3 linked regions of the Styela clava genome follow. The protein of the gene in region 3 interacts with the protein of the main gene of each other region in a pairwise test. Links are inferred from orthologs where the notes say so. Each region holds a gene or a part of one and is shown on either strand. Other genes may lie near its edges. The genes, in order: large ribosomal subunit protein bL12m-like, vacuolar protein sorting-associated protein 51 homolog and regulator of telomere elongation helicase 1-like.

The links.
Region 1: the proteins of regulator of telomere elongation helicase 1-like (region 3) and large ribosomal subunit protein bL12m-like interact in a two-hybrid assay, tested with the Caenorhabditis elegans proteins (2 studies listed by BioGRID). The link is inferred for Styela clava from reciprocal best matches to the Caenorhabditis elegans genes rtel-1 and mrpl-12.
Region 2: the proteins of regulator of telomere elongation helicase 1-like (region 3) and vacuolar protein sorting-associated protein 51 homolog interact in a two-hybrid assay, tested with the Caenorhabditis elegans proteins (2 studies listed by BioGRID). The link is inferred for Styela clava from reciprocal best matches to the Caenorhabditis elegans genes rtel-1 and vps-51.

What each region holds. Positions count from the first base shown.
Region 1 is NC_135252.1:17,317,921-17,325,130, forward strand, and holds large ribosomal subunit protein bL12m-like, read left to right. Parts: upstream 1-5,567; 5' UTR 5,568-5,617; coding exon 5,618-6,175; 3' UTR 6,176-6,367; downstream 6,368-7,210. Other genes in the region: 26S proteasome non-ATPase regulatory subunit 2-like, read right to left, coding at 560-718, 862-998, 1,574-1,673, 1,896-2,017, 2,405-2,569, 3,416-3,472, 3,887-3,979.
Region 2 is NC_135251.1:21,118,817-21,127,104, reverse strand, and holds the start of vacuolar protein sorting-associated protein 51 homolog, read left to right. Parts: upstream 1-4,969; 5' UTR 4,970-5,105; coding exon 5,106-5,273; intron 5,274-5,535; coding exon 5,536-5,613; intron 5,614-6,064; coding exon 6,065-6,223; intron 6,224-6,655; coding exon 6,656-6,913; intron 6,914-7,059; coding exon 7,060-7,182; intron 7,183-7,948; coding exon 7,949-8,109; intron 8,110-8,288. Other genes in the region: linear primary-alkylsulfatase-like, read left to right, coding at 1-585.
Region 3 is NC_135258.1:8,439,745-8,448,219, reverse strand, and holds the start of regulator of telomere elongation helicase 1-like, read left to right. Parts: upstream 1-5,157; 5' UTR 5,158-5,256; coding exon 5,257-5,894; intron 5,895-6,440; coding exon 6,441-6,712; intron 6,713-6,895; coding exon 6,896-7,028; intron 7,029-7,247; coding exon 7,248-8,000; intron 8,001-8,331; coding exon 8,332-8,475. UniProt on the Caenorhabditis elegans protein: A probable ATP-dependent DNA helicase implicated in DNA repair and the maintenance of genomic stability. Acts as an anti-recombinase to counteract toxic recombination and limit crossover during meiosis.

The sequences.
Region 1 (7,210 bases), on a different chromosome or scaffold from region 3:
GAATGTCAAATGTTACTATTCATCTCCTACATATATCTATTATTTATATGCCTTCTGCTTTAAACAAAACTCTGCACAAGCAGTGACTGCCAAGTAAGGACCTACTATAGTTTAGAACAGGGGTGGGCAAGGTGGCCAGGGGGCCAAAAATTTTGCCCACCTAGACTAGTGTGATGTGGAAAGTTGCATTTTATAAACAATATGTACAGTGTTACAAAAAGCAAAAAAGTAAAAAACAATAAGCCACATGCCAAAATCAAATTCAATCATTATCTCGACAAATTCCTTGAGCTATTCTCTAGCTCAAACATCAAAATTTGGTTTTAGTTTGAGTTACTTAACGAGCCGGATTGGCCCGCGGGCCGTAGTTTGGCCATGCCAGGTTTTGAAGGACTGGAATCTTTCCAGTTTGGCATTGCATACCCAATTTATCATAGCCTGCGTGTGCTCGTATCATAATTAAATCTAAAGCTTTAACCACTAAGCCATTACACCCACTTTTGTAATGTTTATGAAATGATTGAAAAAATATATTTAGATAATCTACAACATCACTCACGGATCTTTGCAGGATTGAAACAGTTCAGTAATAACATCCATGTCATTCAATTGTAAAGCAAGTCTCATTGCTTCAGCATACCGATCAAAATTTCTGAACAATCTTATAGTTGTCTTCAACAACGTTATATTCTCTGGATCGGGTGTATATGGCACACAGCTGAAATAGAAAAAAGTTTTTTCGTTGCATCGAATGATATTGAGAAAACCGAATGATAATTTAAAAAGATCTATGGTGTTCATAGTGATATACATTCGAACATTGCTGTCTTGTTATTTTATGGAAAATGCAACAGAATTTACCTTGTTAGATAAAGACAAACTCTCGAAAAAGTACTCTTTTCAACAAATTTATCAAGTAATTCAAGTTTGTTTATTTCCATCAATAAATCACAAGCATCCGTCTCTCCATTGTGCTTCATGTTATAGGGAACAATATCCTGAAACAAAACAAATTTGAAATTATAATTTTATAATTGATGCTTATTCAAACATTTTGCTCCCAACAAGGCCCTGTGCAAGCAGCCACTGCCATATCACAACAAATATCTCTGGTCCGGCATTGACGACCTAATTTATGATTTACACCCTGAGTGAGGTGGAGGTCATGAGATTTGAACCTGAGATGTGTAATCTGCGATAACAACACTATTGAGCTAATCTATATTTAAGTAGTATCCAATCGCAGAGTCACCGTTTAGACCCTTACATTTCCATCTAGCATTGAAAACCTATATAGTTATCTGTTTATCAATGCCATAGTGGAACTCTTCAATCAATAGTCCTTCCATTCAAAGTGGAGGGTTCAGGACCTTGCTCCGAGCTAACCATGTGTGTAATGAATTGGGTAGAGAGTGAATCGAAAGGATCATGGCTATCATAAAAATAAACGCTTCTTACATATCAGTGTCTGCTTATACAAGGCCTTATTCAGAGTGATAGGCATGAAATAAGCATCACATAAAAAATTAGTCTTACAAAAAATTAAATTTGGAATATTGTAAATGTAATCCACCTCTATTAAGTTGCCAAGTGCATCCAACTTCTTAGCATCTGGTTCCCCTTCTGCATCCATAATCTCCTTCCATTCAGAAGCTACCTCGCCTGATAAATGTCTGATGAATAAACAAGTATATTAATAAACAGGACTGAAATTAATTGAAAAGTATTGTATACTTCAATTGGTAAATATTAAAAAAAATTGATTTCAATTAATTTCATGAATTTTGAGATTAGAGCCATTAAGGCTTTAAAATTTACAACTGCATCTCTGAATGATTTCTGTAGGTTTTATTTATTCTTCAGTGAAATAATATTTTTTTTTATCGAGAACACACCTGACATATTCATGTCCCCAAGATCCAATTTCTTCCTGAGTACCAACGAGTCGATATTTTAAGCATTCTCTTTCTTCTGACATTGTCATTCCTAGCACTGATACAATGTCAGCACAAAATTTCTGAAAAAGGGGTAAAAATACTTTCATTTCAAACAGAAATTTTCCAATCAGACAATGAAGCCTGATTTGTGTACGATTGAGATGGTCCAGTTGTTGCTCCAAATTAAAAAGTTATAAACAGAGGCAGAGCTGTGAACATCTGTTTTGGTGACAAAAACTTTGCGAATACAAATTTTCTTTATTTGTCGTAGTCAACTTAGTGCTTTCTCAATTCTCTCAAAAACTTTTTGACTTCTAATATCACCGTCAAAAGTCCAGACTTAGACTCCGATGCCAAAAGAAAAAAAAAAAAAATCAATCAGCATTATAATATAAGAGCAATTTTTCTTCAATGTGATTTATCTCAACAACTGCTATGATTCACTTAAAATATCCTTTCTGACATACTTTGTTTCTGCCATCTGGAATTTTTTCATAAATTTCTTTCAAAGTCCCATAATGTGGTCGAAGAAATTTTAATGGTTTTGGTACAGATGTTAATGATGCAGTAGATGAACGAATCTTCGTTCGTAAAATTTCAAGAGCTGAGTGGTATAAAGAAGAGTCATCTTCCTGTAAAAAAAAGTGAAACTAAAAGGATAGGTACATAATTTTCAACAGCAGAGGTAATCATTCTTAAATATAAACTTCGAAAAAGGCAATGTAGTCATTTGTTTACATAATTGTGGTCTAGTGGGGTTGAATCTGAGAACAATTACAAGTTAACCCTTTCCCACCCCCCTAAAAAAAAACTTCGGAAGCGTCCTAGATTTCTGGCACTTTGACAATTTTGGTTTTAATCCTTTTTAATGATTTTTTTAATGATTTAATCCTAAAGTGTCATACACAAACATAATTTCAAGTGATAAATAAGTTTTTATTCATTTTCATAGAAGTATTTAAGAAATTTATTGGTTCTGTTATTTGGGTCATCCTAGAAAACAAAGCTTGCACTTCATCACATAATATATTATACTGTATTACACAATTTCTATTCCTCAAACTATAATTACCGTAAATCATGGGAAATACCTTGTAACTTGTGTTGAATATTGGATATGATTAGAAAATCATTAGTCAAAAGTGAAATCTTATTATAACCATAATAGGTCCACATATCGTATATGCTCGCGAATAGGCCGAATTTAAAACTCAAAAAAAAAAGTTGCCAAACTAAGGGACCGTTCTCGCATAACTCAGATTGCACCAAAAAATCGACTCATTCGCGCATCAGAATTTTATCACGCAACGAGATGATATTATGCTGACTTGCCGGTAATTCCAAACGCTTCAAACCATACCAAGTTCTCACGATGAAAAAGTGTGCACGCACACACACACACGCTTGTGAAAGTGGATTGTCTTATCATACAGCATTACACATACAGACAACACAATCAGTTAAAAAAGACTTCAAACCTTCAATCTTTCCACACATAGATTCAATTCATCCAGTAGTTGTTTGTCTTCATCAGTCTAGATTAAAAAAGTTATTATATTAATAAAAGTCAACCAACCGAAGGTGTAAATTTATATAAAGCAAAAATAATGAAATAAAAAAAGGATGAAGTAGGCTAATTTATTTTTTAACCATTCTTGAGGTTTCGTTTCTCCGTGTTCAGGTGTGCAAAGGAGGGGATGTTTTAACTTCAATTTTCTCATTAGCTAAATATTTTTACATCCTTGATTTCTTATTTATATAATTTTTGAGAAACCTGATTTCACACCGCCGAGCCAAGGAGCCTCAAATTCTTCTAGATGCGCATTGATCAATGTATAACCATATATTCTTTATCAAAAGCCTTGCCTCAAAGAGCAGGAAAATATTGAAAGCCAGTGACATTAAGATTACAACTGAAAAAGATACCGGTAGGCTAGAATATGACTAACCAACTCAGGTTCTTTTTCCTCTTTCTTTTCTACTTTGTCTTTTTCATTGGTAGGTTTCTCCGCTGGTGTTTCTTTAGAGGTTACAGGAGCCATTCGTTTTTCAAACTTTATTTCAACTCAACTACAGTTATCTGAAGTAAACGCACAAACAATCGTGCACTAGTGTTAGCACCAGCAACTCCGAATATTACATGGAAAATAAACATGAGTCATCGTTCAAAACCATGACAAGCAAATTTGAAACAAATCATATGGTGGCGTAAAAAAAAGTTTTAACATAAAATTGGGATCCCTAGAAAATTCTGACCATATAATCAAGGAATTTTGACTTAAAATTCTCATTCTAATTCTGGAATTAATTTTGAATTCCATGAGGACATTTATAAACATTTTCACGCCTATTATTATACTGAATATGTACGGGGGTATAAATAAATTAATTTTTTGGAGTTCAATACGACACGTTCGCGATAGAGTTGAGATTCAATTTTGGCATTTTAAATTCTAAAAAAATGTTCTAAAATTCTAAAAAAATTTACGTATGACAAAATTGATCCAACCCAAATGTTACGTGTTTTTTCATCACCTGTATAATTTTTCAGTATTTTATGTGACGTCTATCTAACTGAAGCCACAAAAGTTGCCACGGGCGCCAGTGCCACCCATGCTGCATCGCGCCTTACTTTCGGTACGATTATTTCCAAAGTGACTGTCACTTCGGTTATTTCTAAGGTTTGGATAGGTTTCATAAACAGGTACGGTAGGCGCTCGTTTCTCAATCAGTTCTCGAAAGAAATAAAAACATGTGATAAATTTAATGAGGGATAGGGAAATCTGCTTTATGTAGAGATGCCTCTCGCAGTGTGGACGACTTTCTCATTCGAAAACTTGCGATATTCTGCTTTCCTGTTAATTGACTAGCTGGAGTTATGAAAAAAAAATTGTTGACAGTTTTAAGCAAAATGGAATTAGCATCACAATTCTCAAGTATTTTGAAAATTCTATTGATTTTAATAGGGTACGCAAAGTTCTCTTCCTTCTCTTTTCGTTAATTACTAATCAGTAATAGCTTTCTGCTAGTTCACTATAGATTTGTTTTGTCAATCTCAAGGCAGTAAATGCAGAAGGAAATTTTCTATTATCTTGATCACTTTTTGCTTTTGGGTAATCTTGTCAATTGCTGGGGTCTCGTGCAGTTTCGTACCTAACCTACTTCTACTAGGCGTAGCATATCAATTTTTTCACCTGTCAATCCTAACCCCCACCTGACTACGCCATCCAAAAATTACGTCACTACGACATCACAATCACATCATAGAGCTTGCCAAATATACATATGATCGCCCGAAGTGGCATTGGCGCCGACGATAAAGAGCTGACTGACGTCATCGATCTCTCTCCTATCGGCAAGAAAACGAGAGAAATAGCTTTTCTATTTCGGGTGCTCGTCTGCGCGTCTTGGATGGCAGTTCATATAGTTTGAAGGGCTATATTACGTCACTGTGACGTAATTTTTGGATGGCGTAGTCAGGTGGGGGTTAGGATTGATATGTGAAAAAATTGTTATTCTACGCCCACTAGAAGTATGTACACGAGACCCAATTGCTGCGGTCTTTAGTTTGATAGTTCTAACATAAAAAAAAATATTAGTAGTCTAATTACTGAATTAATAATATTTTCGTAATAATAACCTATCATTTCAGCAAGCAATTGCCATAAATCGTGAACAATATGTTTGCAATTAGACAAACAAGAATACTTTTTAGAACTGATCGATTGCTGAAATGCAATGGTATCGTGCGCAGAGGTAAAGATGCAATGTCTACAGCAGCAGCTCAAGGGATCGAGAAAATCCCACCACCACCGCTAGAAGGAAGTAAAGAATTTCCACCAAAAATTGTAAAAATAGTCGATGAAATCTCAAATCTTACACTCATAGAAGTATCGGAATTAAACGAACTCTTAAAAATCAAATTGAATATCAGTGATATTCCAATGATGGTTGGTGGAGGTATTGCTCCCGGTGCCAGTGCTGCTCAAGCGGAAGATGAAGCTCCAGCTTCGAAAGAACAAACTGAGTTCACAGTCAAACTTACTGCTTTCAAACCAGATTCAAAAGTTAAATTAATCAAAGCAATTAAACTTTTAATGCCAAACCTCAATCTTGTAAAAGCGAAAGGATTTGTGGAAAGTGTACCACAAATTGTACGACAAGAAATACCAAAAACAGAAGCTGAGGAATTATCAAAAACATTAACGGAGGCAGGTGGAACTGTTGTTATTGAATGATCTATTTATGAATTTTTTTTAAAAAAGCTTTCAAATCATAAAAAGTGGTTATACTTTAGCAAAGGCTTCCAGGAAACTGTTCAGAGAATTACTATATTTCAATTATTGATTTATGTATTTGACATCATTTTAAAGCAGGCAATTGGTCTTTATTACCTTTTTTGATCTTTATTAGAAACTGAACCAAACGTGGCAAGGTCTGAAAATTGTCCATAGGCAGAGCTATACAGTCATGCTTTCATTGGAGGTTCAAACTGCTGGGTGAAACCGCGGGCCGAACCTTTAACTAAGCATGCTTAACCGTATATTGAATGAGGTTTGCAAAATTTTGAAAATCCTAAATTCAGATTTTTTTTCAAACTGGATTTGAATATAATTTTTCCCTTGACACCATAACCCTGGTGGTAACTTCGGTCAAACATGGACGATTTGATATCAACAACAAAACTTTAAACCTAGCATAGTGTTTCCCAACCAGAGTCCGCAAAGGCATTTGAATGAGTCCGCAACGAGCCAGAAATTCACTGCGGGCCGCAAACGTTTTTTTTTGCAAAAGTTAACTATCAGCCAAGTAACGATTTACGTTAAAATTCACATAAAACATAAAAAGCAAGTTTATCCACATAACATTAATCAAGTCAATTATTACTAGTTACTGAGTATGGCTGGGCATATATTCGAATATTCAACTATTAGAATAGCAATTCACTATTCGAAAATTTGGTAACAGGTGACGCGACAGGTCAAAACGATTGGATTTCACAACTCACTTGCGAATTTCTGACGAAAACCCGAGCACACGTATAGTGTTACTAGCGAGTTCAAACAACGAAAAATTATTTTTTTTAGTAGGTGTCAATGGTGGCAACCCAGATTTTCTGAATTAAAAAGCGGCAATACAAAAAAACTGAAAATAAAACGGAGAACACGATAACTTTTGTTTTATGATTGTACGCGACCGATTAAAAACGCTTCTTTAGACATCGCAAATCGCAGAATTTCGGGTGATACTTTAGTATATGTACCAGGGCATTT
Region 2 (8,288 bases), on a different chromosome or scaffold from region 3:
ACAGGAAAACATATTCCAAGTGATGACAAATGGGCACTAGAACTAGCAGACGCTGTCATAGAACTCAATACATTGGACAAGAAGATGACGGATGTTGCGAAAACGATCAAGGTCAGTGCGCTCAGAGCAATAGGTGTTGAACAAATCACGGCGACAGGAAGAAACTATTACCTTACATATGCTCTGGAGGTAGAGAATAACCTATCACTCGTGCGTTCGAAGGAAGCACTTGAAATGGGTATCAAAGATTCTTCCGTCAGCCGAGTTCTCGAAATACTTTGCTCTAAAGTTCGAGGTCTCGAATGTCAGTATCAAAACTACACAATAGGACTTTCATTCACAGATATACAGAAAGACTACGTAGTCAGCCTGCGTAACAGCGTATGTGATGTATTCGAACCACCACCAGAAAGTATCGTCCCCCAAGTTCAACTTTCCACCAAATCGAATGTGTACAAAGGGATTGTTGCAGAAGATCTGCAACTAGATAAAGAAATCGAATTAGGAAATGTGAAAATTGACTATGGAACTATCGATACTTACAAGGAGTTTCTGGAATGTTTTGATCCATTAAATTCCGTTTAACTAAATATGACATATTATATACCTATAGTTGCCAGTTTAATTTTTTGACCCCACGCTTCCAAACGAAAATTCATAACGAATTATTGTTTTATTTTTGTCATTTACTGTGTTACCTTAATGATCAAATAACCCTAACCATTCAAACAATATCTTATCAAATTTTAGATTAGTCTTTTCTTCTACCTACAGCGATTTTGAGTATCGAGATTTAATAATAGTCTTGTTATATAAATATAAATGTCCAATGTTGCTGTATCAAACGGGTACAAAAGCGCCAATTGTACACCTGAAACCCCGAGAACCAGATTGGGGATTTCTCAGTTCCACAACATGTATTCAATATCTGTAAAATAACTATAACTGTAAGATTAGTTGCAAGGGAACAGTGATGTCCATCGTAATTCTAGCGAAATATTTGATCCCCGATTCTAGACGCCCATAGCAACAAATAGTTGCTACATAGACGTCAGTGAATATAGGCTGGAGATAGACATCAAGATTATACGTAAGAGTACATTATTTTAACAAGAATAAGTTCCTATAATAAAACTATTCCCATTTTGAAATTACGCTGGTGACTGGCAAAACAGTGAATGCATAAGAACCTGCATCAAACATAGTACATAGAACTTCCCTTTCTGAGAATTCATCTGAGAAGAGACTGTTAATTTGAGAACAGGCAAACAGAAGTCCTTTTTTGCGATCAACGAACATCTCTATATAACGAAACTAATTTCGAGCATAACATACTTCTTACTTGTTTAAATGATGATGGATGTTCAGGATAGTTGTACGAGCGCGGTCTTGCGTACTCCAATTTAGTGTCCCCAAATACACATAATAAACAAGAGAGCATTGCTCAAATATATGGAAAAAAGGGCCAACGCAAAATGCGATCGCGAAACCGCCACAAGGTATGCAATTTTTAATTTTGATGACGTCATCACACAAAACTTCAAAGTTAAAAGGAATCCCATAGAGCCCACAGAAATTTTTGAAATAAATAAAGTAGTAGCCTTCTAGCGACAACAATAATCTTTAACCACCGAAAATTTCAAAACAATGGACCTTTCCCCGAGCATCGACTTCCTTGTTTACTTCGTGACATTAGCCAATCAGCAAGATGCAAAAAGGGCGTAACAATGCACCCTTTTCGCATCCGCTCAGACACTTTTCTCACTCAGACAGATTTTCAAGCGTGGTCGTAAACATTACCTCGTTTTCGCGTTTTTGAACTCTATTCGTTAGTTTTTAGTTGTGTTTCGGAAACTTAAATATAAATCAGATAATTCAATGATCACTCTGTCTTCCTAGGAGTTTTAATTTAATTGCAGTAATAAAAAATTAGTGTAGAAATAGCTGTGATAGACTAGGCTAAAATTCTTCACCGGTACTTTTAAAATACAGATTGTTGTATGCGATGTTGATTGCAATGGTAAAGTATAGAAAGGATTTTTCGGGGGTCAGAGGTTGAGGAAAGGTTCATTGGTCCAGCAGGTAAATGGAAAGGGATTTTTTTACAACAGGTGAAGAAAAACACGGGGAAAAATAATAACAACAAGATGAAGAAGAAAAATACCACGAAAAAACTAAAAAAACTTCGACAAAACGATTTGTAGGTCCATTTCGTGTCCAATAACGTATTTGTAAGTCCGTAGGAAAATAACTGGCTATTTGAAATCGTTAAAATGGATGTCATGGCTTGTTAAATAGGAGTAGCTGGCATCGCGTAGTTCTTGGGGAATAGAAAGATTATTCGGAAAGGAACTGGTATTTTAAGAAATCGACATTTTACATGAGTGGGTAAATCAAAGCATATATATATGAGTCCGAGGCAACACTTGGACAATGGGTGCCATTTTGAATCAATTGTTTTCGGTCATGTATCACAGGCTCTCATGGGAATTTCGCACGCACTCATTGAAACATCCCAATATTTCACCAATTTATATATATATTTTACATTGAAGGATTAAGAAAATCGCGTTTTCAAGGAGGAATATTAGCCGAACACATTGATATCATAAAATGTTTGCCAAAGTACGTGTAGGCCTATAATGCATTTAATTGTCACTAAAGAGTTGCTGGATTGTATCCGAAGTAAGATTTGACCATTCTATGATGTCACAGATGGGAAATGATCTTTATCCGGAGAAACCTCATTTCGATGGCCGTTTCCTTATTCAAGTCGACAGCTTTTGACTGTCAATCGTCAACCAAAAACGTACAACTATTGAGTCCAAAGATGTGCTTGACCAGTAATTCTTAAAGTGGGCGATATCGAGGGGAGTGGCAAAGGGATAAAACAGGTAGCCTACCATCTCCTCTGGGGTGACAAGTTGACAATCAGCTTAATAGGAAGCAAAGCTCTATTTGACACGAAAACGAACTACTTGATCCGTCAAAAGTACTTTCCAGTCTTCTTGAACACTGCTGAAAGTTATAAGTACAAGTGAATACCTTAACCTAATGTTTTCAAAATGTTCGGCGACTCACTGCAATCATTTTCCAGCAGTGACAAATGTTTGCAGTTTTTCGTATAATAATTTTCTGCTTCTTCTCACAATAATTTAAAATGCCATTTTTCATTTTCAAGCTTTGCAGACATTTGCTGGTTCTACCTGACTGGCGTAGCTTCCGTACTCTTTCTCCTGGTATTGCCCCATTTAATAATACAATAATTACGGAAGATTTGTAGAATCAAAACCTTTAAATTACTCAAAATATTACATAGAGAATAACGTATTTTCCCGAAAATAAGACCTAGCCTGAATTTTAAAAATGACTTTAATATAATAATAAGCCCTCTCCTCAAAATAAGACCTGGTCGATAACGCAAAATTTTGACCTAGTCTTTAGCAAGAAATCTCTCCTACACGTTTAAAATGATTAATAAACTATGTTTTACAGTTAATTTGAATAAAACGTGTTATTTGTAAGTAAATGGATATCGGCGCTCATATTTTGTATGTTCGAAAATCTCGTAATTCTCTACTTTGTAATTTGGTTTTTAACAAGAGAGCTATGCTCAAATATATGGACACGTAGAGTCACATAATTTTGATGACGTCTTAGCGAAAAAAAAAGTAATAGCCTTCTAATAGCCTTTATCTTTAACCACTAAAAATTTCAAAGCAATTGGTCCAGTATTCGAAGAGAAAAGCGACTTTTAAAAACGTGTCAAGCGGTACTGAGTTAGCAGTCAGGCAGCATCTTACCTGTACACTGTAGGCCATATACGGTAATTGATCACAGAACAGTTGTTCCCTTGCAAATTTTATGTTGTTTACACTTTAGGACAGATAATTGATCACAGAACAATTCTTCCCTTTCAAATTTTATGTTGTTTCCAGTAGACTCTCATCAAAATAAACAAATATAGTAGGCTACAAGTGCTACAACGCTTGCATTACTGCACTGGTAGGACCGTGAAAGAATAAGTTACGGTAATTTCATTGTGGTAAGACACCGGTACCGGCACCAGTATCGTACTTACGTACTGAGCTACCAGTACCGGTTAGCAGTCAGCCAGCATCTTACCTGTACACTGTAGGCCATATACGGTAATTGATCACAGAACAGTTGTTCCCTTGCAAATTTTATGTTGTTTACACTTTAGGACAGATAATTGATCACAGAACAATTCTTCCCTTTCAAATTTTATGTTGTTTCCAGTAGACTCTCATCAAAATAAACAAATATAGTAGGCTACAAGTGCTACAACGCTTGCATTACTGCACTGGTAGGACCGTGAAAGAATAAGTTACGGTAATTTCATTGTGGTAAGACACTGGTACCGGCACCAGTACCAGTATCGTACTTACGTACTGAGCTACCAGTACCGGTACCGAACCTGCAGGTCTGATATTCCGTTCCGCATACGATAGGCTATAAAACTTGCATTGCAGCATTAGTAATACCGCGGAAGGAATAAGTCAATTTCACTGCGTTACGGTACCTGTGTGGCAACTTACCAGTACCGACCTACAGTAGCTGTACTACTGAGCAAGACAATCGATCGCGAAACCGCTTGAAATAGGTGTAAAACAGTGTTCCCATGAGTAAAAATAAATACCGCGAAATTTTGTATGAAATATCATATCTCATAGGATTCATATAAAATTTAAGAATAAACAAAAGTAATAGCCTTCTAGAGAAAAAATTAATCTTTAACCACTGAAAATTTCAAAGCAATTGGTCCAGTATTCGAAGAGAAAAGCGACTTTTTAAAAACGTGTCAAAGAACAAGAACAACAAGAACAACAACAACATAATATTGAAACGATCGTTATGTCCACTACGTGTCCAATAAATGAAAATATAAGATCGAAAATAAGCCCGTGTGTAGACTCAGAGTCAGGCCCAAATTGTTCGGGGTCAAAGATCAGCTAAATAAGCAGAGTAAATCGCGACACTGGAGTTGCTTGCCAGTCAAATCGGCTAATACCGGTAGTTTTTGTATTGTTTTTGTAATCGATTGGCTGAAAAATATATAGATAGTCAATAGATAAAGTTTAGCAATGGAGGAGACAGACGAAAATCGTCAGACGAGACATGCGCGTAAAAATGATATGCTCAAGATGTATTACAATGTCGATGGTCAAAATCAATCTTCAGTTTCCGATGGACATCTGGATATTGACAGCAACAATTTCAAACCTGAGGATTACCTTCGCAAATTAAAGCAGGTTGAATTTTTTGAAATGATTCAAATTTTACTAGTCAGCTAGCCCAATTCACATTTGACACTATTATGCAGTTATGTTCCTGTATTAAAATGGTAAATTCTTCATGTTCAAACGCGGAATGCTAAATTTTGATACCCATAATACTGTAATTGCTTACATTATAGAACTAGTAGCCTAGTTTTGTTTTTGCCCAGTACAGCAGTAATTGTAGATGTAGTTTTTCTAATTTTGATAAAACTTTAATTGAGGTTTTTATTGTAAGGAAAAAAATTTGGAGCAGCTGATGGATACTGAACATGACATGGCACGTCAGATACGAACATTGGACAGTGAAATGCAAGTATGTTCTGCATGTTTTTTAAACGGAGTTACGGTTTAAAAGTTTAAATACATGCATTATTATCCAATGATACATAAATATCCCCTGGCCTTTACCGTCCCTCCATATTGGTGCAAAAACCACAAAATGTAGCTGCACATTAAACTCAAACGAAGTGGAACTCGAAACTGTCTCGGCAATAAATTTTGTGGGTTAAAGTCTGATTAAACAAAGCAGATAATTAGGAAACTATTGTCGAGCGAATTTCGCTGGCGTCACAGTTGATTTATTAGTATCTCACAAAGATAGTGCCGCCGTATCCAGTGCTACCAAAACGACGCCCCTCGTTTCAGAGCTTGTTTATATATTGCTAAATCTGGTCAGTTTTTTTAAACATTGAAACATGTGTCATACTATATGAAATATGCTATTCAAGAAAATGTAGCAAAATTGAATATATTTGTTTTAACAGACGTTGGTGTATGAGAACTACAATAAGTTCATCAGTGCGACAGATACAATTCGTACAATGAAACGAGATTTTCATAAAATGGAGGATGAAATGGAGAAATTAACTGCAAATGTTTCATCAGTTGCAAAATTAAGTTCTGAAATTAACAGTACAATGCATGTAGGTTCTTGTTGCTTACCGTATCCTATTTCTTATCAACAGTATTTCAAATTTTTTTAAGGCATTTCTAATTCATCCAAAATTTATTAACATTTTTGTATCATTTTCTTCCTAATTTTAAGATCTTTTACGTCCTCAATTGCATTTGATAACTTATTTGTTGCCACCTAGGTATGCATCTCACTTGCTTTACAAGATAATTGCATACCCATTTTGGTATCTTTTTAATTCTCATATAAGTCTGTTCCTAACCCTAACTAAAGTCACTGAGATCTCACAACCTCCGATATCGCATACCAAAGTAGTATTGTTTTTTTACACCTCCGCTTAGAACTACTAAACCATTTTGTCTATATTTTGACACCAGCTAGCTGATCATGGATTTGAGCAGTTTCTGATGACCCTCTCATACTTTCCGTAATTTCACTTTAGGACAATCGACAGAAAATACTGAAGCTATCAGGAGTTCATTCACTACTTAAGAAGCTGCAGTTTCTGTTTGAATTACCATCCAGATTACAAAGGTGCCTTGACATGAAATCATATTCTGCTGCTGTGACATATTACACCAAAACACGATCTGTTCTTAGTCGTTACCAACACATGGAATCATTCAGTGGAATTCAACGTGACTGTACTGAAATTATGAATCAAGTTATCGAAAAATTAAAAGACACTTTCCATAATAAGGTATGCTTTTTCAGTAAGGGCTTCCAATTCCACATAGGTGCTATTCCATTATGTTTTATTATTATGATTGGGTTCTGTCCATTCATAGGGCGCATCCGTCTATAAGAGTGTTCCATTAAAAATACTCTACTTCATATTTTGTGCAGAATTCTACACCTCAGCAATTAGCTCAATGTGTTGGCTTATTATTACGATTAGGAGAACCACCAGCATCCTTATGTGATGATTATCTTCAACACACAAAACGAAAGTTACTGGAAGATTTAGAGGTTTGAATTTTATATATCATTTAATAATGTAAACGTATGTTTCACTCAAAACGATTAAGCGATAATGATATTCAGTTACAGTGATGTGATCAAAAACTGTTTTAGTTTAGAGCATGGATGGTGAACCGTTCTTGCTGAATATATTATATTTTTTAATGGAAATTTTTTCCGCAGATGGTATTGCAGATAGATTTTTGATCTTTACGTATCACAGATAATTTTCTGTACTCAATTTTGTGAAATTAATTTTTGTAAACATTGACCCCCTGAGTACAAAGATCTGGAAACTAGCATTAGCAATGCATCAATAAATAAATATTTTCATGCTTTTAAAATAGTTTGGGAGGGAATTCTACTTTTCATATACTGTTATGAAATTTTCTGCTTGGCTTCCAAGTTCCAACTACAATAAAGTTGCCAATATCCAACCCCATTTTTAATTCAGATTTCTGTGGACAGTTCTGAATCGCCACATGTAGATGAGTTTTCGAGTACGATTCGATCTATATTAGGCTATATATGGTCATGATTAATTAAGATATACAAGGATTTAACTCTAAAAATCTGATCTCAGCTTGACGTTTCGCACCGCCCTCTTGTATCGGACCTCCAGAAGTATGTGCACCAAGATGGCGCACAACCTGAACATAGTATGTGTACCAGGTTAGAATTCAGGTTGTGTGCCATCTTGGTGCACATACTTCTGGAGCGACCTCGTATTTACTATTCTTATGATTCATCAATATTCATTTTGAATTTTTCTCAGGAACTGGAATCATATCTATCATGCAACTTCCTTACATCTCCATCAATTACTAGAAGTTCAACAAAAACTACTATAGTCGCAGAAGATAGCAAAAGTATTGGAAATACCAATGAAGAAACAGATGAACATACTGATGATATAGTTGAACAAGAAAATACCAGGTAAAACTTTAAGCCTTCAAAATTAAATACCCTGTTGACATGTTTTTTGTAGCTCATGAATCCTTATTAGGTTTATAGGCATCTTCACGTTATTTGAGTCTTGAATATATACGGTATACTTTGATGAAATGAGTGTGGTAAAAGACTTAGCCTAACTGTCACAAGTATTTTATTAATGA
Region 3 (8,475 bases):
AAGTATAATGAACTTATCAATGTTCAACTCATGTGTATTTTCATTGTCATATCATGCTTGTTTTAGTGTGTGCCGTGTATATTTGCTATGTCACATGCTTGATTAGACATGATTTGATAATGTCTGAATTACCCTGGATAGCTTATACCAACTTATTAATTGAAAATGAATTGAATTTTTGGAATTATTTGTGAATCTAATGTAGTCGATTCTGTTATTAGCACCAGTATTTTTTTCAAGTTCACATATGTGATGAATTTATTCTTTAAATATTCTTTAAATAACTTGCTACAGTGTTGCCCAAAATACAACTTTTGACTAGGTAATGAATGTTTTTACATGAATTTCCGATTTGTGAAGACTATAAACCAGACAAAGTTGATACTAAATGAAAAAAAATGACATTTTGTAGGAATTTTGGCAAAAAATGAACTTTTTTTTCAAATATTCTCAAAAAAATTTGCTGTACACCAGTGTTGCTCAAATACAACTTTTGATTACTTATTTCAATTCTATTTTGGTGGGGTGCATTTTATATTAATATGGAATGAATTCATTGTTGGTTTATGCTTAATCTTATACAAATTCAACTTTCTGATTGCATATAACTCAAAATTTGGCTCAAATTGTTAGCGACTCTAGGTTTATTACTGTAAATTGCAAGTATATTTGCTCTGATTTTATAGCATTGTACATTCATATGAATTATTGTTCATTAAAGTAGTAGAGCAGGCGTTTGATTGGTTGCGGTGGTAGTTGATTGTGTTCCGCCTTTGTATTTTCTCAGCTTCGGCCGATTTGAGTCGATACTGTATTTTTTTGTGTTAGATTGGATGATTTTGTGTTTGACGTGTTCTCGTTTATTTTTTGTGCTTTAATTACTATTGTTTTAATTAATATTCACGTAATGCTAGCTAACAACTATATGTTTGTGTTACTAACAATTTTGTGTTAACTTGATAGCGATTGCCCCCTATCGCAGCGGGAAAGCAAAAGCAACTTTTTTATCGAACCAGAAACCACTTTAATTTTTAGTTTGTTCTTTTTTAGTTTTATCCATGCTACCGTACTACTAGCAGCGTGTTTGTATACGCATGTAATTGATTTTTGTTTCACTGCTTCTCTTTTTCATTTCGGTTTGTTCGAAAGCGCCTTACTTCGATTTTTGTTATTATCATTTCATGTCCGAGCACTCTACAGATTTTTTCAAAATCAGCTTTGTGCTGGATATGGTTTACAACACGTTCTTGTGTCACTACTCGTTTGAACTATTTTTGATTTAATCTAACTGCACGGGATTAAAGCATTGGTTATGTTAATATAGTTAGGGCTGGGTGAATCCGCAGGGTTCAAAATGATAAAGATAATTCACACAAACTTATTGTACACAAATTAAAATGATTTCAACAAAAAATACATCACAGTATTAAAACTCTAACAACTTGAGCTTTTTTGTAATCTATGAATAAAATTAAGTTTATGAATTGATTGTTTGATTTTGCCCGGCCCTAGCTTTTGTCCGAATCGATTTTGCACTTATGTTTCACAATACTTATAAGGGAAATGATAGTCACATGAGACTCTACCACTTTTTATATCACACCTCAGTCTTCAATTGCATTTAAAAGTACAATATGATTTTTTCCCTAATCAAAATTTAACCAATCTTATGACGAAGTGTCTTTAAGCTCATGATCATCTCAATGTTATCCAGGTTGTTAGACAATTATTAATGGAAAAATACCCTGTCAGATTCCACTTTCTTATTTAAACAACATTATTCAAATGTGCAAATTTGGAGAATATTCTTCCATTGCATTGATTACTAGAACGCTTGAATATTTAATGCATTAAGATTCAATTCATTTTTAAATTGTTTTCGTAAACGGCCAACCTGACTGAGCTAGACAGTGGGAATAACTTGCCTGTTTTGAAGATAAAGTGTACTTACGTTGTTGTGTTGAAATGTCAGGTTTTATCTATATTATGCATCAAAAAAAGGATTCTGATGTAAAAAATCTAGTTATGAGTGTTAATTAATATTAATAATTATTAATACTAAGCGGTGATTTATATTATTTGCACGAAAATTTTTTTTCACTCAATGTTTTAGTTGACAAATTTAAGACACAATATTTTGTTTGCGTTTCTGATGCCATAATTTTAAGATCCATCCATATATAATATTATTTACTTGTAATCCCATTTGATTGTTTTCTAATATTAGGTTTGATTTGGATTCTGTGAGTTAACATAACCAAATTTTGATTATAATGTTAATGCTGTGATATATGTTTTGAGCAAATAGGAAAATTGCTTGAAACGCTATGATTTGTATTTACCGTAGTCTAAATCCGGCATCTGACTAAAATAGAATCTTTTACTGAAGTTAGATTTCAGATAAAATGCCAGTAAAAACAGATTTTCAGGTGAAATGATCTGTCTCATATCTTTTATGGAAACCAACTTGCCAATTATATACCTGTTGTAACAAAACAAAAAATTTAAAGTGTTCCGTGTATTTGTTTTCAATATTTTTTTGTTCATTTTCATTCCACACTGAGCAGTTACTCGCTTTTTGATTCCTTTTTGCCTTTTTTCACTTTTTTCTTTGGTTTGAAATTCTTACTGATCGTGTTGGAGTTCGTTAATTTTCCTCGATTATTGCACCTTTTCATTTCTTTATGAATTTCTTCCTTTCACTTGGTTATCGCTTTGTTCATTAATCTGATTTAAACACATACTTGCGATTATTGGCTGGTTATATTGCATAGCAGATTTCAATAATAACCGGATATTTGAATTATCCAGTGGGCCGTGCTGTGCTTTTTTTTCTTTTTGTGATGTTTGCTCCACCACCATCTTTTTTCATAAAAATATGGATTCAAATCTCAAGCACAAATTAAAAAAAAATATTAAACCAAATTTTTTTATGCTGTTAAAGAGTATCCAGTGAAGTTTGTCAATCAATCATTATCATCAAAATTTTCTTGTAGTTTTGTATTTTTGTTAATATTCATTTTTTTGTATGGATTGCAGTTCTTTTGGTGATTATTTGCAGTGATAATAGGTATAGTCCGTGTTACTTTTTTGTGTAATTTTCTTTCGGTATCCAGAAAACCATTGTCATACGTTATCAAAGTCTTTCAAATGCCAAGATCTTAAGGCTTTTCGTGTGTGACAAATTCAACATCTTTAAGTCATGCATAATCAAGTTACCTAAGATCTTTGGTATCTGTATGAAAAATTTGACTCAGATAATTCAGTGATTTGCTGATTGAATGTGATGCATAATTTTTGATTATTTTCACATATCAGTCTGTCATTTGAGTTAACTCCATTGTTTGTTTATATTTGTTTGTATACTCACGGCATGACAATTGTCATTAGCACTACCATCATTAATATTGTATTAGAATAACCCTGTGACCAGATGAAAAAATATACTAAATCCGTGTAATTTTGAGGGAAATAAAAATACTTACATGGTTAATGGTGTTGTTTGTTTTTCTATTGAAATATGAAGGAAGGTACATATTATTCCAGACTGGGACGAAACTTCGTAAATTCATTTACAAAGAGACAACGCTAATATGTGGGTTCAGTACAAATACGTCATAATTTTGTCAAAATAAGCATGCGTGTGTTGGTATGCTCAATAATAGCTTCATAGTTTTGCCCCATTGGGCAGGCGAACATGGGTTGGTGAGTGCAGGAAATACTCTCTAAATCGAAATATTTTGATTGGTAAATCGATAAATCTGAATTGAAGGTGTATCTACTATCTATCCTACTGGTCATGAAATTCTGTTTTGTTAGGACAAATCGCTAATCCCACGTAGGATTTGCAATCGACTGCGGACTATTTTCAATTTTGACTTCTTTTATCCCCATTGGAACTTCAAAAGTCTGAATTTTCGACTCCATTGAATTTAGAATTTTGACTCCAGGTCCTGAGAATTTTGCAAATAGGACTCCGACAAGAACATGCCGAACTCCAAGTACGCGCCGCGGGTTAAGAGTTTTACCACCTTTGTATCTTCAAGAACCCGACATGCTAAAATGGCCGAACCCGAGATGGCGCTGCGGTGTTAAAATAAATCCCTGTCAAAACTTGGCGCCAGTTTCGCTTCCACTGAAGATGAGAGATTGTTAGATATAGGATTTACACAGTTATCCCGGTGGAGAGGAAAGTAGTTATGTCGGTGGAGTGGAAAGTCGATGAGAGGGCTTAACCACGGCCTCCCATGGGTCTCCATCCGTTTACCAGTCCGCCCTTGAGCAATTATTACAGAGAGAAAGTTTATCATTCTATATTTTTGTCCATAGTCTTTTCGCCCCTCGTTGCTTTTTCTATCCCCAGGTTGCATACGACTGTACCTGGTCTAAATTATGACTTTGACTTTCAATCGCCATGGGAGTTGCTTAATAATAATGATAGACTATATAAATTTGTCTACCGATATTTATTTACCACAGTAGCGACTTATGCTGGTAAACTGCGGTTTCGGTACAACCTGACGCTGTTACACCCTGACTATGGTACTGGACTACATAACTATGTCCAAATGTCTTTTAATTCCACATATTTATGCTCTTATATTTTCCCAATTTCCAAAGTGATTGATTGTAAAGCAAAATCATAACTAAAACTATCTTTTGATCACAAAACCACCATCACTGCTGCACTACTATAAGATAGACATTTTATTTCGAACTCCATTTAGTAAATGTTATAGATGAAGACAATGCGAAATGAGTAAACAAACATTGGAACACCCATAATTCAGCAATTCCTAGGTCTGTACATGCAAAAATTAGAATTTCAAAACAAAATCAAACTGCTGCTAGTTAGAATTTCATTTATACATTAGAACATTCAAGTTTTTTTTATTATGTCAGGCATCTATTATACCGTATCTGTAGTCTATATGCATGGTTGTGGTATAGTATAGTACGGTACCAAAATTGTTGAGGCATGCCAACTAGAAGTACTTGTGGTCCATGGTACTATACCAGACCTAAATTTGTGAATGAATAAGTGTCAGTCTAACTTGCTCATTGTAGTTGATTTTATAGTTTTAATTCCATTCTTTTGAGAATTTTGTTGCTGTTAAGTGATAATAATTATTTTTATACAGATTCATATAAACTAGTTAGAGTTTAAAATGGATTATTTTAAATAAGAACAAAAAATCAGAAAACTTTGCCTCTGAATTGTCAAGTCTTTTGGCTAATTCAAGTCTTCCGTTCACCATGCCTACTTTCAAACTGCGGGATGTGGAAATTGAATTTCCCTTCAAGCCGTATTTAGTACAAATTAAATATATGGAAAGTGTGATTAAGTCATTACAAACCGGGAAGAATGCGTTACTGGAATCACCAACAGGGACAGGAAAAACTTTGTGCCTCTTGTGCGCAACCATGGCATGGCGAAGATTAGAAATCAAAAAGCGTACAGTGGAAAAGTCTTTGATTCCTGATAGTAAAGAGCCTGATTACCCCTTAGGATGGGGCTCTAGCGATGCAGTTCCCGGGGAAGAGCCCGAACAAAGCATCCCAACGGCCCCAAAAATTATATATGCTTCCAGAACCCATTCACAATTAGCTCAAGTCGTCAAAGAACTGAAACGAACTGCGTATGCCAAGGATGCTAAAATCAGTATTTTAGGATCCCGGGAGCAAATGTGTATTCACCCAGAAGTGTCAAAGCAAACCAACAATACTGCAATGATTCATTCGTGTCGTAATAAAGTTAATAAACATCTCTGTCATTTCTACAACAATGTTGAAAATGTGAGAAAAGCAGGATCATTCACAAATGAAGTTTTGGATATTGAAGAATTGGTTGCGTTGGGGAAGAAGAGGAGTGCCTGCCCTTATTATGCAGCAAGGTTATATACAGATTTCTCTATTTGATATCATAAGTTGAAATAATGAGTTGGTATATAAATAATATCCATTTACCGTACGTAGCAAAAGTTATATCTGGACTTGTAAGGGGTTATAGGACCTTTACCATACATTTTTATATCAATTTGGTTTATGTATTTGTCTTTTCTTTTCAATATCTGCTATACTCTCCATTGTAATTGACCATAATTCGTGCCAAATGATATTGTAGAGAAAATTTTACTAAAATTAAATTATGGAAAGGAAATAATTTATCATTTATGCACATTTAACCAATGGCGTACTTGAGCTTGTTTTTGTGTATTTAATCATATTTATTAACATTAATTTTATTAGTTTCGATCAATTAATATAAAGTTATAAACACAAACATATGACTAATAAATCTTTATAAAAAGGATCCAAAAATTTGTCACACAGTCAAAATTTGAGAGTCATTGGTGTGGTAGATTGGTATGTGATCACAGATTAGAATGTGGATAAAATTGAATTGAACTTGAAAAAAAAAAATCATTTTCATCTTCTAGAGAGCAATCAAAAGAGGCAGACTGTGGCATCATTTTCACGCCTTATAATTATTTATTGGATCGGAAAGCACGTCGTTCTCATAATCTTGAAGTATCTGGCAATGTGATTATATTTGACGAAGCTCATAATCTGGAGAAGATGTGCGAAGAATCGGCTTCATTTGATTTAACATCAATGGATATTGCAAAATGTATTCAAGAAACTGGAGAACTATTAAAAGCTGCAGTAAATCTTTCTGAGACTGGGACTGTACCTGATGGTTATGAGGCTGGTATGTTATTATGTTTATGTGTGTGTGGGCGCTCAGGTAGTACATGGTAGTTTCATGTTTCATTCATACATTTGACTCTCTCCATTCAACTAGTTGTCTGATAGTTCAGCTTGATGCCAGCTTTTATTTAATCGTTTAAGTTTGATTTTTGGTTGATAATTGTGTACCACCATATATTTTCAGGAGAGTCATCAGCACTTGGTGAATTCAATCTTCAGGAATTAGCAACGTTAAAAGCATTATTCGTCCATCTTGAATCACATCTTCAAGCCATACCACTTTCTGGTGTAGAAAAGAGTTTGACAAAAAAGGGAAGGTATGATGATATGGAATATTTTTATTCAAAAATGTAGCCCTAGCGCACTCCAGCAGATTTTTATTTCTCTTTCTACGCAGATGCGCTTATTTAGTCCTTAATTAGTCCAGGAGTCCTTTCAAAAAAAGTAGTTTTCACTCAGAAGTGCCTTGTTTGGAGTCTTAGTAACTCTTTGAAAACACCTCGTGTAAAAGTTACAATGTTTTCTTATTTTTACAGATACATGTTTGAGTTTTTGGCCGCTCTGAGTGTGAACTTTACAACACATGAGACAATCATTGATCTTGTCGACAAGGTGGTGACTTATCTTTCCACCCTGAGTAACTCATTTCAAACTAGAGGAACAGCTTTACAAAAGTTTTCGGAGATCCTGAAAATCATATTCAGTGCAGCGGGAGGACAAAATCCTACCCTACCATCCACTCTTTTAAACTCCAATGTAGCAACCGAGATGATGATGAGTGAATTATCAAAATTTTATCGCGTACATATTCGAGAAGACGAAGTAAAATCTAAAAACTCTTGGGGAGGGAAACAAACTTTTCAAACTACGACTACAGAATCTACGGGTACACAAAGAACGCTGAGTTATTGGTGCTTCAGCCCGGGATACGCAATGAGAGATTTACTAGCTTGCGGAGTAAAAAATTTAATTTTGACAAGCGGAACTTTATCGCCGATTGAATCCTTTACCTGCGAACTTCAAGTTGATTTCCCGATCACGTTACAAAACACTCACGTCATTGATAATCATCAAGTTTTCGTTGCTTCTTTAACGAAAGGACTCACAGGAAGACGTTTAGAATCAACGTACAAAACTAGAGGAGATTACAGACTGGCACAAGATATTGGAAATATTCTTATTAGAATGTCTAGAATATGTCCTGGTGGATTGCTAGTGTTTTTCCCATCTTACTTGGCCATGGAAATTTACACCAAGACATGGAGGGAGTTAGCTCCTGATATTATGAGGTACATAGATCTGTAATAAGTAGAAAATGCCCCACGTCTTTCACAATATCAAAATCCAGTAAAAATGTAAGCTTTCTCATCATAAGAGGTACTCAGAAAATTCAGCATAATAATCAAATTTAAGATAATCCAATCAAAAAAGTCGTATCTTGAAAATTTACTTAGTCAAATACTGGTACTGTTTTAAAATGACAGTATTATTTATAGTTGATACATACCTTTATTTTGCTGAACATCAATTTGGAATATTCAGAACATCAGGTAAAAATTCGAAAATTTCGCATCATTTTGTACTATCAGTATGTCATGTTTATGTCACTTTTTTCATCAGGCAGATCGACTTGATTAAACCTTGCACAATTGAGACGAGAAATAAAAATGGTTTGAAAGAAGCCATGGAAAAATATTACTCAGATGTTGCCAAACCTGAGGGTGGGACATTCTTTGCCATATGTCGTGGCAAAGTCTCAGAAGG